Xenopus tropicalis: one gene and its partner. The protein of the gene in region 1 purifies or fractionates together with the protein of each later gene. This does not show direct contact. Links are inferred from orthologs where the notes say so. Each region holds a gene or a part of one and is shown in the gene's direction. Other genes may lie near its edges.

Evidence for each region. Proteins that work in one complex are often made in the same cells at the same time.
Region 2: the proteins of ptges3 (region 1) and smyd2 purify together in Homo sapiens (affinity purification with mass spectrometry; 3 studies listed by BioGRID and IntAct, with this or other methods). This does not show direct contact. The link is inferred for Xenopus tropicalis from reciprocal best matches to the Homo sapiens genes PTGES3 and SMYD2.

Annotation. Positions count from the first base shown.
Region 1 is NC_030678.2:138,770,217-138,774,217, reverse strand, and holds the end of ptges3 (prostaglandin E synthase 3), read left to right. Parts: intron 1-182; coding exon 183-272; intron 273-1,169; coding exon 1,170-1,232; intron 1,233-1,786; coding exon 1,787-1,811; intron 1,812-1,942; coding exon 1,943-1,962; 3' UTR 1,963-3,394; downstream 3,395-4,001. UniProt on the Homo sapiens protein: Cytosolic prostaglandin synthase that catalyzes the oxidoreduction of prostaglandin endoperoxide H2 (PGH2) to prostaglandin E2 (PGE2).
Region 2 is NC_030681.2:13,619,824-13,623,906, reverse strand, and holds the start of smyd2 (N-lysine methyltransferase SMYD2), read left to right. Parts: upstream 1-1,226; 5' UTR 1,227-1,408; coding exon 1,409-1,575; intron 1,576-4,083. UniProt on the Homo sapiens protein: Protein-lysine N-methyltransferase that methylates both histones and non-histone proteins, including p53/TP53 and RB1. Specifically trimethylates histone H3 'Lys-4' (H3K4me3) in vivo. The activity requires interaction with HSP90alpha.

The DNA of each region.
Region 1 (4,001 bases):
AGGGGGCTGGGCTTCATGCTATAGACTAGCTGAGAAAGCTGCAGTTGAACTGCTTGTGGTACAGAATTTACATGTGACTGAATGTAGGGAGAAAGGTATGTTATTCTGGGCACTATTTCTTTTGGTATTGAAGATGTAGCTTTTATATTGTATTAAACATTTTAGTATCTTTTATTTTTCAGCTAAATTGGCTTAGTGTTGACTTCAATAACTGGAAAGATTGGGAAGATGACTCTGATGAAGATATGTCAAATTTTGACCGCTTTTCTGAGGTAACTGGTCCTTTTGTAACAGCAGTACTTCAGCAGAACCTTTATCTTAACTGTGTTCCTAACAATGTTTTTCTCAAAAAAATGATGTTTATGATAAAGACTTTAAGGGGGAGATATCAACATTCGAGTTTGACTTTATCATTTAAAGGTTTTTGTTCGGTAAAAAACTCCAAATTTGAATTATGGTTCAAAAACTCAAATGTCTGGTATTTAAAGTGCTAAAAACTTGAATGTAAAAATTCCCCATCTAAAATCTTGTGAGCTTCTATAGAAATCAATGGGAGTTGTACTAGGCAAAGTCAAGCCATATTTTCAATTTGGGATATTCAAGTTTTTGTTTTTTTGACTTTGTAAATTCTAAATTTCTACTTAGTCTAGTTTTTTTTGTTTGGTTTTTTAAATTGCACGAATTTACCACATTAATAAAGAAGCAAGCATTCGATCTGTGAGCTAATTTGATTTAGAAAAACAAACTCAAATTCATAAACTGATAAATATGCCTATAAAAGTTTTAAAACTAAAATAGTACCTGTCCTCCTGTGATGGATTTTTTTTAAACCTGCCTGATAGAACTGGAGGAGGGGCAGAGTCAGCAAAATTTTTCAGCATGTATATGGCCACATTAAGGGGTTCCATCTACTGACCCAGTTACAAAGAAAGGTGTAAATAAAACCATAGGGAGGAGAAGGAGGAGAACCCCCCTTATAGCTCTGTCTTGATGGTTACTTCTTTGCTTTTTGTTTTAAATTGTAATTTTCTTTTGTTATTTAATTTTATATACAGGTGTTATGGTTACTTTAATGACAACCTATTAAAAATGGTTAAGTATTGGTATTTTCATACAAAAGAACAAAGGCTTGGCTACTTAAATGCTTTTTCCCCCCTTCTTTTAAACAGATGATGAACAATATGGGTGGAGATGAGGATGTAGATTTACCAGAAGTAGATGGTGCAGATGATGTAAGTTCCAGATCTTACTTAAATGATCATACAGGGGAAATTATGCTCCTAGTTTTCTATTGGATCCAAAAAAAGCTGAAAACTTGAGCTACCTTTTTGAATGGTTTGTGAGAGTTAGACCACTGGCATAGTTTATAGGAAGAGATTTATTAGGGTGATCTAAGAGCAAAAACTGAGAGACTGCTCTATAAAGGCTCAGATGTTTTATATGCAGTCTGATTTGCTCCTGTGTCTGCACTGTCAGCCTGGGAGCAGTCACACACAGCATATTTTGGTGCAAACATGTATAGTCGCCTTTGTGCTGAAATCACCTTGTTTTTTCACCTAGGCCGACACAGTGCCTGTCAGTGCAGACGCAGAAACAGCTACAGATGGAACTAGCCTTAGATGTACTGGTTCCATGTGATGCCAGGTTAAAATATATAGAATAAAAAGGCTATTAAAAAGTTTTGTTCAAGTGGATTTATTTACTTAAAATAACAGCATGGAAGAGAGAGTTTTGTACAGTTACATTGACACTGAACATCTTAATTTATATCTCATGTTATTTTTAGGATTCACCAGACAGTGACGATGAAAGTAAGTTCTGCTTCTTCCATCTATATAATATCTTGCCAAGCAGAGACATGCAAAACTACAAATTACATAAACTACTAAGCTGTCCATTTTCTAAACTTTTTTTTCTTTTCTTTTTAATGTTTTCTTAACAGAAATGCCTGACCTTGAATAAGAAGTCCTCTTGCGGTTTGGGAAAGGGATGGGAAAATAGGTGGAAAGCAAAATATTTCAACACACTGCAACAGTTGCTGATATCTGAGTTGTAAATACAGTTACTGAGTACTTCCAGTCAGCCTTGTTTGTTTATCACCACCAAATGGCTTTCATTGAGGGTTGGAGACTACAGTTGTACAGTGCATCCTTCAGACCATTGAGCCTCTTCTAGATGTACTTTTTAGATTACCTGTATTTATGCAAGACTTCACAGCCATCCTTGGTATTGCATATAGCCACAATATCAATGCACTTACATTTTTTTTCAAGGGAGAAGGTGGGGGTGTTCATCTCATCTCAAGCAGCAGGTCACTTACATGTGTATCTCTTCTGACAGCACATTCCCAAAATTTCCCAAATAATTGTACTCATATAGCGATTGTAATTGAACCCAGGTTAGGTTTTTTCATTGTGGATCATAAACACAGCCAAGTGGTTGAAAAGCATTGTACTGGGATGCACAGTTGGGTTTTGCTTGTAGGTCCTGCTTTGGATGGCACTGGGTTATAAGTAAAAGTAATGTGGGCAAATGAAGAGTGTTAGAGACATCAGCAATTTAATCATAGAAAGTTGTCTTTCAAGTAATGCAATTGATCGTTTTAAATCAATGTATAATTGCAGAAGTATCAATTTTCAGATCACTTTACAGTAAACCTGCAAAGAAATTGTAGAAAGAAATAAGGGAATATAAAACAATCTACAGCTTTTCTTTTTCTCCTAACTAGTTTTACGTAGTGTTTGCCCAGTCATGTGACTTTTGGGAGTTTATATTAAATGCAGCGCAGAACGTAATTTTCCTTTAATAGTCTCTTCTGTCAATACTGTGACACAAACTGATTTTATTTACCTTAATTTTGGTGTGCTTATGTATTTTTAATGCTTTAATACAACCATAAAATGTGTTCCTCGTATCAGTTTCCAGTAGTACATTCTATTCATTTGCTACCCCTGATTCAGATAACAGATTTTTAGGACATCCGTAATCTGTATGCAACATTTGTCAGTGAATTCAATACATGTGCTTTTAGAAGGGCTGTCTGGGTTATTCAGATTCAGGGTTTGTGGACACCAAGAATGACCATAAAAACTTGGTTCTCACAGCCCCTGAAACATGCCTGTACAATTGTTTTTTCCACCCTTTTGCAACTCTACGTTTGGAAGAGTGCAGCCAGCTGTACATTATTTCTCATCAGTCTGTACATTTAGACCAAATTGTATTTGCACTGTCACAGTATATATTAAAAAAGAGTAACAATGTTAATACACTATTCTGTTTTGTTTTATTCCTTTTTTTTTTTTTTTTGATCAGGAAAAGATACCTAAAGTTGTATTGGAAGTTGTGGGGATTTTTTTTAATTGTCTGCATTATTTCTAATAAACTGTTAAGAGACTATGTGATATATTTATTTTTTTTATATTTTTTTTTACACATTATATATGAATTAAACATATATATATGTTGTTATATTGTTAATAGGCTAATAGACTGTTGTAATTATAAGCTAAATGTTAATGCTACAGTTAGGTTACTAGTTATATCCCTGGATAGTTTATTTTCTTACAAAACTGATCTTTCATGATTAAAACAATAGGCAGGAAACTATGCTCTGTACAAGCCCTATTCATTGCATTGATGTTGAGCAAGGGGATATACTGCCCCTACACCACATGTTCTTAAATTAAATAGGAATTGCAGAGCAGCTGTATTTAGAAATCATTTTTTTTTCCCCACCTCAAACGGGAATTGGATTCCTGTTAGTCACAATATTGAGTAAAAGAAGGGGGTGGAATACTGGAAACCTAATTAGATTAAACATGGAGTAGCTTTAGGGCTCTGGCACACGGGGGAGATTAGTCGCCCGCGATTAACTCCCTGTTCGCGGGCGACTAATCTCCCCGAGTTGCCTACCTCTGCCATCCCACCGGCGAACATGTAAGTCGCCGGCGGGATGGCAGACGCGCCGGCGCGATTTCGCACAAATCGCCCCGCCGCGTCTG
Region 2 (4,083 bases), on another chromosome or scaffold:
ACTTTTTTTAGTCCCATCATGCACTTCCCTTGAGGGTGGATTTTCCATTTACTTTTATGCAGGAGCAATTTCATTTCCTCACATAACAGTCGCCCTTGGGACACTCTGGGCTAATGGTGCCCATACAGAGGCCGATAATCTGTTTCTGAACCATCGCTGCATTACCATTGGCTGCTCACATTTTCCAACCAGCTTGATGAATAAACTGCCCAATATGCACGGTACAATAATATAGGTCAGTGGGGGGTCCAACCAACATACAAAATTTGAAGATGTGACTTTATTGGTACATGTATGGTCAGATTAAGAACTGAGGAAGGGAAGAAGGCAGAGGCAGTGAATAAATCAGCTTCCTGCTGACTGCAAGTGTGCCCAGTCCTCTGTATGCTTACATGCAGTGCCGGACTGGGACCCCAGGGGCCCACCAGAAACCTTAGACCCTGGGCCCACTTTCTAAACTATTTTTTCTCCTTTCCTCACCCAACCTCTTTATTCTCCTAGTCTCTTTTATTTACATGCTAGCATCTATTCTTCCATCTATTTCTCCTCTTTGTTCCCATTCAGAAATAGGGAATGACCAGGAAGTAGGCCAAATGGTCAGGAGCAGGAGGGCCCACTGACACCTGGGCCCACCGGGAGTTTTCCTGGTATCCTGGTGGGCCAGTCCGACACTGCTTACACAGTCATGTGACTAGTTCCTACTTCCTTTCTAGCAAAGGGCAGCAGTGCTGTCTTGCTTTGTGGTAGGGATTTTTAAAGCACCCCCGCAGGACAGGGGTGGCCAAAACATTGATCGCAGTCGATCCCCCGTGGACTTCTGGTGGGATCTAAGCCAGGGAAATGCGGAACCACAGCGCCTTTATTGGGGATGCGTGCGTAAGCTGCACCGCGTATGTACGCAGGGAGGAGCCAAAGTCAATCGTTGTGCGAAAAAGTCTGGGCACCCCCCGCCCTAGGAAAACAGCCATTGTTGTTTCACAAGACAATTGTTGTTTCCCTTTATCTTTCCCTCTCAATGGCACACATGCCAGGCTACAGTTTGGTCAGCTGAATTACCCTATTAAATACTCACATACTGGCCTAACTATAATGCCTCTTGGAGATGCTTGTAGCATTGTAACCCTCTAATGGGACAATAAAAAGAAGGCAATGCTTTTATGATAACAGTATGACTTTAAAAGGGGATCCCGAGTTCCGTGCAGCAGCAGGGGGGCAGTATTTCCAGCGCACACACAGAGAGAGGGAGTCAGGTAACGGCGGTAGGACCCTGCGGCTCCGGCAGGCTGCCCAGCTGTCTCAGTGTGTGTGTGAGTGAGTGCGGCCCGGCAGGGGGGAAGCATTAATAGACTGTCCCTGGCACAGGCGCACCCCTCTCTGTCATTCTCTCTCTCTGCCCCCCTCCCGCACCATGGGACAGCCCGAGGGTCTGGAGCGGTTCGACAGCCCAGGGAAAGGCCGGGGTCTGAAGGCTACGCGTCCATTCGCGCTGGGGGAGCTGCTGTTCAGCTGCCCGGCCTACACCTACGTACTGACTGTAAACGAACGGGGAAACCACTGCGAGTTCTGCTTCGCCAGGTAACATGGGCAGCAGGGGAAGCGGCTCTGCCCGCTTATATAGAAGAAGGGCCGGCCTGGGCCCGGCGGGGGAGCCGGGGGCGCGGATATTTAAGGCGTTACGGTAGTGCCTTTCTATAGACATGTGGGTTCCGCAGTGGCGCTGGGTCCTAGTGCCTGCTTACAATCATTTGGCTGCTATTGGGTCTGGTTCTAGGTCGGTTTGTGAGAGTATTTAGTGCTGGGGTAATCCTATAAAGGTCCCCATACACGGGCCGGTTCTAGCTGCCAATATAGGTCCCTTAAGGTGCCCATACACTACATCGCCAAGCGAGTGGATCTTCACCCGATATCCACACCTACGGGTGGTCGATATCGGGCAGCAAGTAACTTGAAAAAAAAATAATCCCCAGGGCCAAACGATTGGATTACATTTGTGGTTATGGGGCAGTCGGTTCGGGGACCGCAGCCGAGCAAACGATGCGGTCCCCGATCCGGCCGGATTTTCTAACCTGGCCAATCGAGATCTGGCCAATTTCAGGCCAGATATCGGTCGGCCAGGCCGTTGTGTTCTGCCCATACACGGGCCGATTAGCTGCCAAATCGGTCCAAGGGACCGATATCGGCAGCTATAGTCGGCCCGTGTATGGGAACCTTTAGACTGATTCGGCAGCTAATCGGCCCGTGTATGGGAACTAACGACAGGCCTGCCCCACCGATATCTCGCCTGAAATCGGCCAGATATCAATCGAGCAGGTTAGAAAATCTAGTCGGATCGGGGACCGCGTCAGCTCGTTGATGCAGCCCCCGGACCGACTTTTCCTATACCCGTCGTTATAATTAGCCTGGATTCTCCTGATATCGCCCACCCGTAGGTGGGGGATATCGGGAGGCCAAGCGAGCGGATCTGAAGGTGTATGGGCACCTTAAGAGTATTAAACTATTTTGCAGCACAAATCAGGAGTAATGTCAGTGGGAATATGGGAGTTGTAGTTCAGAAAGAGCCGAGAGGCCTTACTGGTCTGATTAAATGTTCCTTTCAAAGCAGGGCCACAATTTGCAGCGATGCCTGCCCTTGGGGGACCCCTGATTGCCCTTGTCTGGGGGACCCCTGATTGCCCTTGTCTGGGGGACCCCTGATTGCCCTTGTCTGGGGGACCCCTGATTGCCCTTGTCTGGGGGACCCCTGATTGCCCTTGTTTGGGGGACCCCTGATTGCCCTTGCCTGGGGGACTCCTGGAGGCCCTTTAGCTCAGGGGTCCCCAACCACCAGGCCGTGGACCAGTGCCGGGCCATGGGCTGTGCTGAACTGGGCCACCTGATCTCCCATTGATTTTGTATTATGGTGAGCTGTATTATATTTTATAATGTAATAATATCCATAACAATAAAAATAAAGTGCATAATATAAAATGTAATAATGACATTTACATTATATATGTACTAATTAAATTATATACTATAAATTAGTTGTGGGCCCCCCCCCCCCCCCCCCCCCCCCAACCTTGGTCCTTCGAAAAATTGTCTTGCTTGAAACTGGGCCATGGTGCAAAAAAGGTTGGGGGCCATTGCTTTAGCTCCTATAGGCCATGTTACTCTTGAAACATTGTAGCTGAAATCGGTTCTCCTTCTGGTCTGTTAATCAGCTGGCTTCTGCTACATTGTCTATGAAATCATAAGAATGACGATAACAGTCACTGATCCCCGACGACAAAGTAGAATTTTTAGTTGCAGGCCAGAAAAAAAGTCAAGAATAGGAAAGGACTAGTAATTGGGGGGAGAAAAAATCATAAATAATAAAAATGAAGACCAATTGAAAGTTGCTAAATAAGTTGAATGAAAGGTTTCAGCTCTAGGCTTTAGCGGTGATTGGTTGTTGAGAGTTGCAGTTCAACTATAACTGTACTGGCACATGTTAAACCCTAATGTGACCTATGGAGTCATGCAGAAGTACTGGGAGCAGCTGGGTGCTGCTGGTTCCCATGTGTCCAACTGACATAACGCTAGTGGGCTATTTTAAGCCACTCGCAGTTAATTGCTCTGCGCCCATATGAGTCCCAGGGTGGAGCTGTCCAACAGGTGTTGGTTTAACAGTGTTGTACTGATCAGAAAGCAGCCAATCAGGGCTTTGCTTTCACTGTCAACCAAAAAAATATGGGTCCACTCCCATTATTAGTATGATTAAATATTGCTGTTAGATCCTTGTACTTTAGCAATTCATCCAATTGCATTCTGCATGGCAGCATAGAAACCAGTGCAGTCTGCAGCATGAACTAGTTGAACTGAATTGGACACCGGCCCATACGAAGACGCTTCAGATGAATTTTTTTAACAGGCCCCGGCACAACAGGCTGCGCTGGACGCGCAGCCTGTTGTGCCGGGGCCTGTTGAAAAAATTCATCTGACGCGTCCGATGTAAGTCACTAGCCATGCCTGTGTCTATACTGGCCAGAAGAGCTGCCGTTGCTGAACCCAAGGCAGCTTTGATTTGGGAGTCAGAATGTATAAAGGGAAGGATGGCCTCTGGGG